Caenorhabditis elegans: one gene and its partner. The protein of the gene in region 2 purifies or fractionates together with the protein of the main gene of each other region. This does not show direct contact. Each region holds a gene or a part of one and is shown on either strand. Other genes may lie near its edges.

What was found.
Region 1: the proteins of T04A11.5 (region 2) and zig-3 fractionate together in Caenorhabditis elegans (co-fractionation; one large-scale study listed by BioGRID). This does not show direct contact.

What each region holds. Positions count from the first base shown.
Region 1 is NC_003284.9:7,928,890-7,932,318, forward strand, and holds zig-3 (Zwei Ig domain protein zig-3), read left to right. Parts: upstream 1-1,848; 5' UTR 1,849-1,907; coding exon 1,908-1,970; intron 1,971-2,016; coding exon 2,017-2,389; intron 2,390-2,444; coding exon 2,445-2,764; 3' UTR 2,765-2,919; downstream 2,920-3,429. UniProt on the Caenorhabditis elegans protein: Required for maintaining axon position of PVQ and PVP neurons postembryonically in the ventral nerve cord (VNC) by preventing axons drifting into the opposite side of the VNC that could occur during body growth and movement.
Region 2 is NC_003282.8:12,484,126-12,488,269, reverse strand, and holds T04A11.5 (Phenazine biosynthesis-like domain-containing protein), read left to right. Parts: upstream 1-1,732; coding exon 1,733-1,822; intron 1,823-1,938; coding exon 1,939-2,292; intron 2,293-2,345; coding exon 2,346-2,399; intron 2,400-2,861; coding exon 2,862-3,206; intron 3,207-3,252; coding exon 3,253-3,360; downstream 3,361-4,144. Other genes in the region: sru-26 (Serpentine Receptor, class U), read right to left, coding at 452-691; T04A11.4 (Phenazine biosynthesis-like domain-containing protein), read left to right, coding at 3,691-3,780.

The DNA of each region.
Region 1 (3,429 bases), on a different chromosome or scaffold from region 2:
GCCCGAATCGACCGAAAAATGCTGTAACACCGAGAAGTTGCCAAAATTTGAGATTTTAGCTAAAAATAGGCCATTTTTTCCAAAACTTCGAGCGGTCATAACTTTTTTTTGAAAAATTTTCAGAACGTCTTATTACGAAATGTATGATTTAGACTGTTTCAATGCATGTTTTTGGCGAGAAATGGTCAATTTTACAAAGCTATTGGATTTTCGAAAATTAGTTTTGCATCTCTACTCAATTAAAAGTTAGAAAATCTATTCATTTTGCATTTTTAAAATTCCTGCTGATACCAAAAATATTTCGATGAGTATATTCCAATTTGACCAATTCTATCTTTTCCCACTGTCTCAAAAAACATATTTTCTTTTTCTCAAACGTGATAAACAGGTTTAATTTGAAATTCAGAAAATGAACAAAATAATTTTTCGAGTAAAATCTTTACATAGAGTTACATAGAACACTCCCTATTAATAGATGTGAAAGATTAATAAATTATATTCGAAGAGTTCTTATACGATTTTTGGAATGCCCTCTCTAAATTCACCAAATTGAACTATTTGGATAACAAGTTGATCGGTTAATCAGCTGAAAAACGGAAAGAAAAGCATAAGACAAATAGTTCATAATTTATTTTTAGTCAAATATTTTATTAGTTGTTTTATAAATATCAGCTGGTTAGCTATGCTAATCAAGGGAAGCGGCGGATCAACGAATAAAAACGGTACATTCATCTCATTCAATAATGAAAATAAAATGAAATAAATAAAGATAAAGAACATTCTTTTTGAAAGTCGCATATTTTTATAATGAAATGCCTTTTCATTGATGTTGAGTGCTTTTGAAACCAGAGAAAAAATTTGGATAAAGATTTATTTTCTAAGAAGTCTTGGATTTATTTCATGATTTTTTAAGAAATCGCTAAACCTTTTGAGTTCCAAGTCCCAAGTATCAAAATTAAAAATTGTCTTGATTTTAACATTTTATTTTAACTTGATTAACTTATTTGGCATTTATGGCTTTGGAATGTGAACTTTTGTCATTTTTATGGGGAGCTCAAAACACATAAATAATTTTTTACTGTAAAACCTTTCGTTGTTTGAAGGAAAACTGACGGTTCTTTATTTTTTAACCCAATGGGGCTCAAATCAACTGATTTTATAATGAGAGTTTTCAAAGTTTTTAAAAAATGTTTTATACAGGTTCAAAAATTTTGAAAAATGCAAATGTTATCTTTACTTACGTAATTTGGTAGTTTATCTCACACTATTTTCTTGGTTAAAGAACATTTAAGGCCGATAGGTAACTAAGTTTGGTCGTTTTTGGTTACCCATCTGCGTGTAACGTTTTTTTATTCAACATAATAACGACATGGGAAGAACGGCAAAAAATGCATTACAGGTTGATATTCAAAGCTAATCTCCAATCGCAGCGACACTCAATGGTTAGCGAAATTGGAGATTTAAGCTGTTTAGAATTTTTAGGTAGTCTCATTACGAAATTTGTGTATTCGCGCACATTTTGAGTAGATACACTCCAAAAACCTGGAACTGATACTCCTCCTTTAATTTTTTGTCAAATAACCACATTCTCCATATTTAACAATTATATTTTACACTTCCTGGCTACTTCCAGTACAAGAACCATACCAACATGTTCGGTCGTTATCAATCGGATTTGTGAAGTCTCTCAAAAACGTTCTCTTTCACTTCATAATCAGCTTCCCACCTTTCGAAACTCCGCCTTCAATTCGCCAGTAAAAGCAGAACATTCCGTTGGGCGGGCAAAACAAATACGCTCCTCCCACATTATCGAGATACTATAAAAGAGATACCGAAGTGGAATTCTTTACGAACTAGGTTCCAATTCGAAAACTACTTTTGTTAAACTATATTTTGCATTTGGAAAAATGCTGCTCATCTGCATATCTGTCCTTGCTGCAATTTCAGCTCATCCATTGTCATCAGGAGAGGTAAGTCAAAACCATCTGATTAATTAAAAATCATTCACTTTTCCAGATGCGTGCAGCAGTCTCAAATTTGGTTCGAGAAATCGACTCCACTCATCTAACTACTAAACCATCCCTGAAAATAATTGAAGGTCTTGAAGACAACACAGTTAGCACTGGCGAGAGCGTAACTCTTCGATGTGACGTACTGTCCACACCGACTGGAGTCATTTACTGGGAAAAGGATGGCCAACGAATCCAGGGAGATAAAGAGCTTAATGTTTTTGAAAAAGTATTGAACGCTATGGGTCCTACAGTCGAGTCAGGTATCATCACCAGTAGCTACCAAATCCCATGCGCAAATCTCCATCATATTGGATCCTATAAGTGTGTAGCCACAAATGGGCACGATACCGTCGAAAGCTCTGCAAAAATCTCAGTTGGTTAGTTGAATATAATTTCTATTAAAACATTCTTAACTTAAAAATTTTCTTGCAGAAGGACAAACTGTTAAGTGTAAATCAACGCGCCGCTCAGCCCCAGTAATCACAATGTCTACTGAATCCCGATTTGAACTTCAAGACAATGCAGCTACTCTTATCTGCCGTGCTGATCGTAGAGCCAATTGGAATTGGATGTTCGAAGACAAGAAAATAGATTTTGACAGCGGCCGATATGAACTACTTCCATCCGGTGATCTTCTCATCCGGAAAATCCAGTGGTCAGACATGGGTTCATACTTTTGCATTGCTCATAACAAGTATGGAGAGTCCCGTGGTGAAACCTTCTTGTATCCCACCAAAAAACATATTGCTTAATTTATTTTGTTGGTATCCTTAAATTTATTTTTACATCCTGTTGAATTGTACCCCTAACTTATCTAGTCGTTTTTCCTTACAAACCCGTGAACAGATCTCACTTACAACACTTGATTCTATGCATATTTTGTTCCCTAATAAAAGTTTTCATTTTGATTTAAAAAAAAAAACAATTATTTTGTTGGAACATTGAACAAAGCACAAACAATACAAACAAATCATATCGTATGTTTTTTCCTAATCTAAGACTATTCACTGTTGGTTATCATAATTCATTTTGCCATCCACAGCAGAGAAAATGGTAAACAATATGAATCTTTCTAGTCTGGCGTTTGTATAACCAAGGAATAATTTTTTATTTAAAGTTGTTTCCCTGTGAAAAACCCAGAATGAAACATAATCAAGTTTCAACGAGCATCTTGATTATTTCCATAGTGATTTGAAAAAAGCACGGATTAAGTGAATAAGCCTCAGTATTCGTCAATTTTCTCAAATTCTCACTCAAACTGGATAGCAAAATGTACCATTTATACAGGTGACGGTGTAATTTGTGTTTACGTCACTAGTACACAAATTTCACCTGGTTCTGTTTATTTAATTGTGAGCTTTTCAATAATCCACATAACCTTTTTCCCTACTCTAAGAGTATAGTATTCGTGTATGGT
Region 2 (4,144 bases):
AATTGAATGACATTCAAGCTGGCCAAAAATGGTTAAAATCTCCAGTCTACAAGGCGAAGTAGGCCTACCTTGTACCTACACGCGTACCTACGGCATTAAGGTAGGCATGCATGTAGGCATGAAAAGTCATGAATAGTTTTCTAAAGTTTTCTTGAAAATAATCGGTCATATTTCTTTTTTTTTAAAGAAAGTTTAGGTTTTTCAAAAATAGTTTGTGTCGTTGAATTTTGAGAATAAGAAGAACTAAATTGAATAAGAAGAACTAAATTGAATCAAATTTGTGTTCTCTGAGAAAATTTGAAGTTCTCGAAGAATTATTTGTCTGAGAAAATCCCATCACAAAATTGAGATCATTCGAATTTCTCTCCATAAAAGAATGTTGCAAGGCATATATAGGCCGCCTCGTAGGCAGGTAGGCTTGAAAATATGTCAACTTTTCCAACCAACTCACCATGCACTGAGAAATACTAATTGCACTCAACAAGTATACATTGTTATTTCTATCTCTAAAGGCATAATACAATTTGACCAATATCCGCAAAATAATGATAATTGTTATGGGAATATAAAGTATTGGAACTAATAGAAAAAGCATAGGAAGTGTGTAAAATGAGAATTCAAAGTTAATAAAAGTCGAATTTCCGTGAATTCCAACATATGAAGAATTTAAAACCGGCGGAAGTGTGAACATTTTTAGGAGACAGGGAAGTTCACAAATGAAAGCCGTGCCGTCGCGAAAAATATATTAATCACAGGTTTAGAAAAGCACATTTTAGAGAAGAAATTGCTCTCGAGTTGCACCTAATATGAGATAATATCCTATAAATAGGTTTAGAGAGCAAGCTAGAAAACCAGATAATTGGCACTTTTTTGATCAAGAAAGATTCGGAGGTTTTTGGCTACTGAAAATGTTATTTGAAAGTTTTTATTCGAGTTTAAAGGTGAGAACTACAATTTGAAAACAAAATATGAAAGGTGGAGTAGCAACAACTATCAAATATTAAGAGAAAACTTTAAAAAGTTTTCTGGATAACCTTGAAATGTTGAAAATTGACCAATTGGTTTTTTGTTAATTGTAAAAACTCTAAACACTTTTGAATTTCTGAAAATGTTATTAAAAGTTGTGGTAATTATCAAATTTACGAGAACATTTTGACGTATTGATGTGGAAGTTTTGTATTTATTTCAAAATAAATACAACACTTCCACAACCTAATACGCCAAAATGTTCTCGTAAATTTGACAATTACCAAAACTTTGAATAAAATTTTCAGAAATTCAAAAATGTTTAGTATTCACGTATTCACCGAGTTGTATTATTTTTGACTATCGGCAAATGCCAAGTTTTCAAATTATCTATAATTTTAAATTTTCGGCCGAATTATAAAATTGCCAAAACTTTGAATTGCCGTCCACCCTGATATGCATATTTTTCATAATATTTCAATCAACTGGTTTCAACTCTATGTTTTTGACCCGATATCACCTTAGAAAGGTTTATTAGATTTTTCTGATAAGAAGTATCCTTTTCCGATTCAGACGAAGAGATAGAGAAACGTGACTGTTGTGTTGTCATCTTTCTTCTCCTTATATATATTTTTTGTTTTTTGTTCATCGGTACAACTAGTTAAATGTCAACATCTTGAAGCACTTTATTTTTTTCAAGTTTTCAAATTCACTACACAACTGCCAAACTTCTATAATTACTTCATTTCTAAATTTTAATTTTCAGATGTCGAGAAAATTTCCGTCTTTCATAGTTGATGCATTTACAACTAAGAGTTTTGCAGGAAATCCTGCAGCAGTTTGTCTTATTCCAGAGGTAATTAGTAATAATTTGGACCATAGTATATGGTTTGTATTTAATTAAAAATAATTGATTTATAATTTCCAATGATGACACTCCATCTTTAATCATTGTTTTAGTTTTATTTCCAGGTTTTTAAAGACCAAGAGTATTTGAAAATCGCTGCCGAATTCAATCTCTCCGAGACAGCATTTCCAGTTCCAATTGGTTCAACTGACTTCAAGACTTGCTCTCAGTTTTCCCTACGCTGGTTTACTCCAAAAACTGAAGTTCCGTTGTGTGGTCACGCAACTCTTGCAACGTCACACGTTCTGTTCAATGAAGTTGGAAATGTGAATAAGGAGATTAAATTCGATACCCAATCCGGAGTTTTGATTGCAAAAAGAGATGAAAAAGGAAATGTGGAGATGAATTTTCCCGAATACGATTTGGCGTCAGTGAAGTTCAATGATACCCCAAATCCATTGCAGGGCATTTTTTCGGAGGTAATATTTTATAAAATATTTCAAAAGTCTTTTCGAGAAAATTGAAATTTCAGTTCGAAGCACCATCATTCCTGTTTGAAGTTATCAAGTGCGTTGTTCCAACTGAGGTGAATTTTTGTAGTTTTATTGGGTATGTGTGGTAGTGCCTGCCTACCTGCTTAAGTGCCTTCCTAGCTAGAACTCCGGTGTTTGGTGTTCATGCAATGTGGTAGGCACGAGGCAGGCAGGCAGGCCTTATTCCGATAATTTTTCGTGAAAAGTATTTTATTCTGAAAATCTGAACATTTACGACAACAAACCTGGAAAATTCCTCCTGAAAACCAGGAAATTGACGTGTGTAAATCTGAAATTTGTGTCTGAAAATCTGATAACATACGTCAAAATTTTTGTAAATCTATACCTGAAAGCATGAAACTTTTCGTCTAAAATAAATTCAAGTATGAAAATTATTGTCCAACCGTCTTAAAATTTATTACTGAAAAACTGGAATTTTACATCTGAAAATCCAAAAAATGCACGTTTAAAAATCGTAATCCAGTCCCTTCTTTTTCAATCAGCTCATATTTCAGATGATTATCGAATCAGTGGTGTACTCTTCAAAATCTCGCAAACTAATCGTCATTGTGGATCCAGAAACCACCAAATTTGAACTTGAAGCCGTTCGCATTGATTGCTCAAAAATGCTCGAGATTCACGATGGAAGTTTTGTAAGGGGCCTTGCCATTTCTCTTCGTCCATCAAATCCAATGGCTCAAGGATTTGTGGATTCTTCTGATGAACCATATGACTATGCATGCCGTTATTTTGCTCCGTGGGTTGGAATCGATGAGGATCCAGCAACTGGATCTGCGCAATGTGTTATGGGACCGTTCTGGTCGAAGATGCTCGGGAAGAACGAGTTGTATGCTTTTCAGGTAATTATCATTATGGAGCTTTTTCAATGATAATTTTGATTTGTAGGCTTTTCCAACTCGAGGAGCTCAATTCAGGATTCGTCTTCAAGATGACCGTGTGATTTTGAACGGACCTTCTGTCACAGTGCTCCGGGGAGAGCTTGCGTTGAACTAATTTTCAATATGAATTTGAAGTAAAATTCCCAAGAACTCTACTCCACCCTCAAAGTTTTTGATTTTTGATGACTATCAATAAATTTATCTTCTCATTTCACATTTCTCCCATTTCCAAAGTACTTTCAAACAAATTTCCAAACGTATAAAGAATCTGCAACAACACAATCACAACCACTACAACCCCTTCTTTTCATTTTCTTTTCACATGTTTTCCACCTTTACAAGACCAACTGTTGACCCCATGTCCTTCATCTTTTTCCTTTTTTCACTTCTTTTGGCAAACGACGTTTATTTGGAATTTCATTAGCCATTCGACACGTTGTCACAGATGACTGAACACTATCCTTCGTACATTGTCGATGCTTTTGCAAAGAAGAGATTTTCTGGAAATCCAGCTGCGGTTTGTCTTATACCACAGGTAGGTCCCAAAAGTTTTATTTTTCTAATATAGATGGTGAGTATGAAATATGTATTTAAAATAACTTTTACATTGTAATGGATTAAAAAGATAGAATTTTGAAAGCAAACTATAAGTTTCTACCGGAAAATTATTTTATTTGATTCATTTGAAAAAGTACTCGACGGCAATAAATACGTCGTAGAAACTGTTTTGAAAAGTTGAAAAATAGCTTAAATTTTAAATGTTATTAAATATGGTTCTGGAAATAAAATTAGAAAAATTTTTCCTGACTTTTAGAGAAATAGCATGCAATTTTCCGATCCATTTTACTTCATCGGAGGCGTTTTCCGGGCGAAATACGGGCCCCTTTGAATAGCCTTGC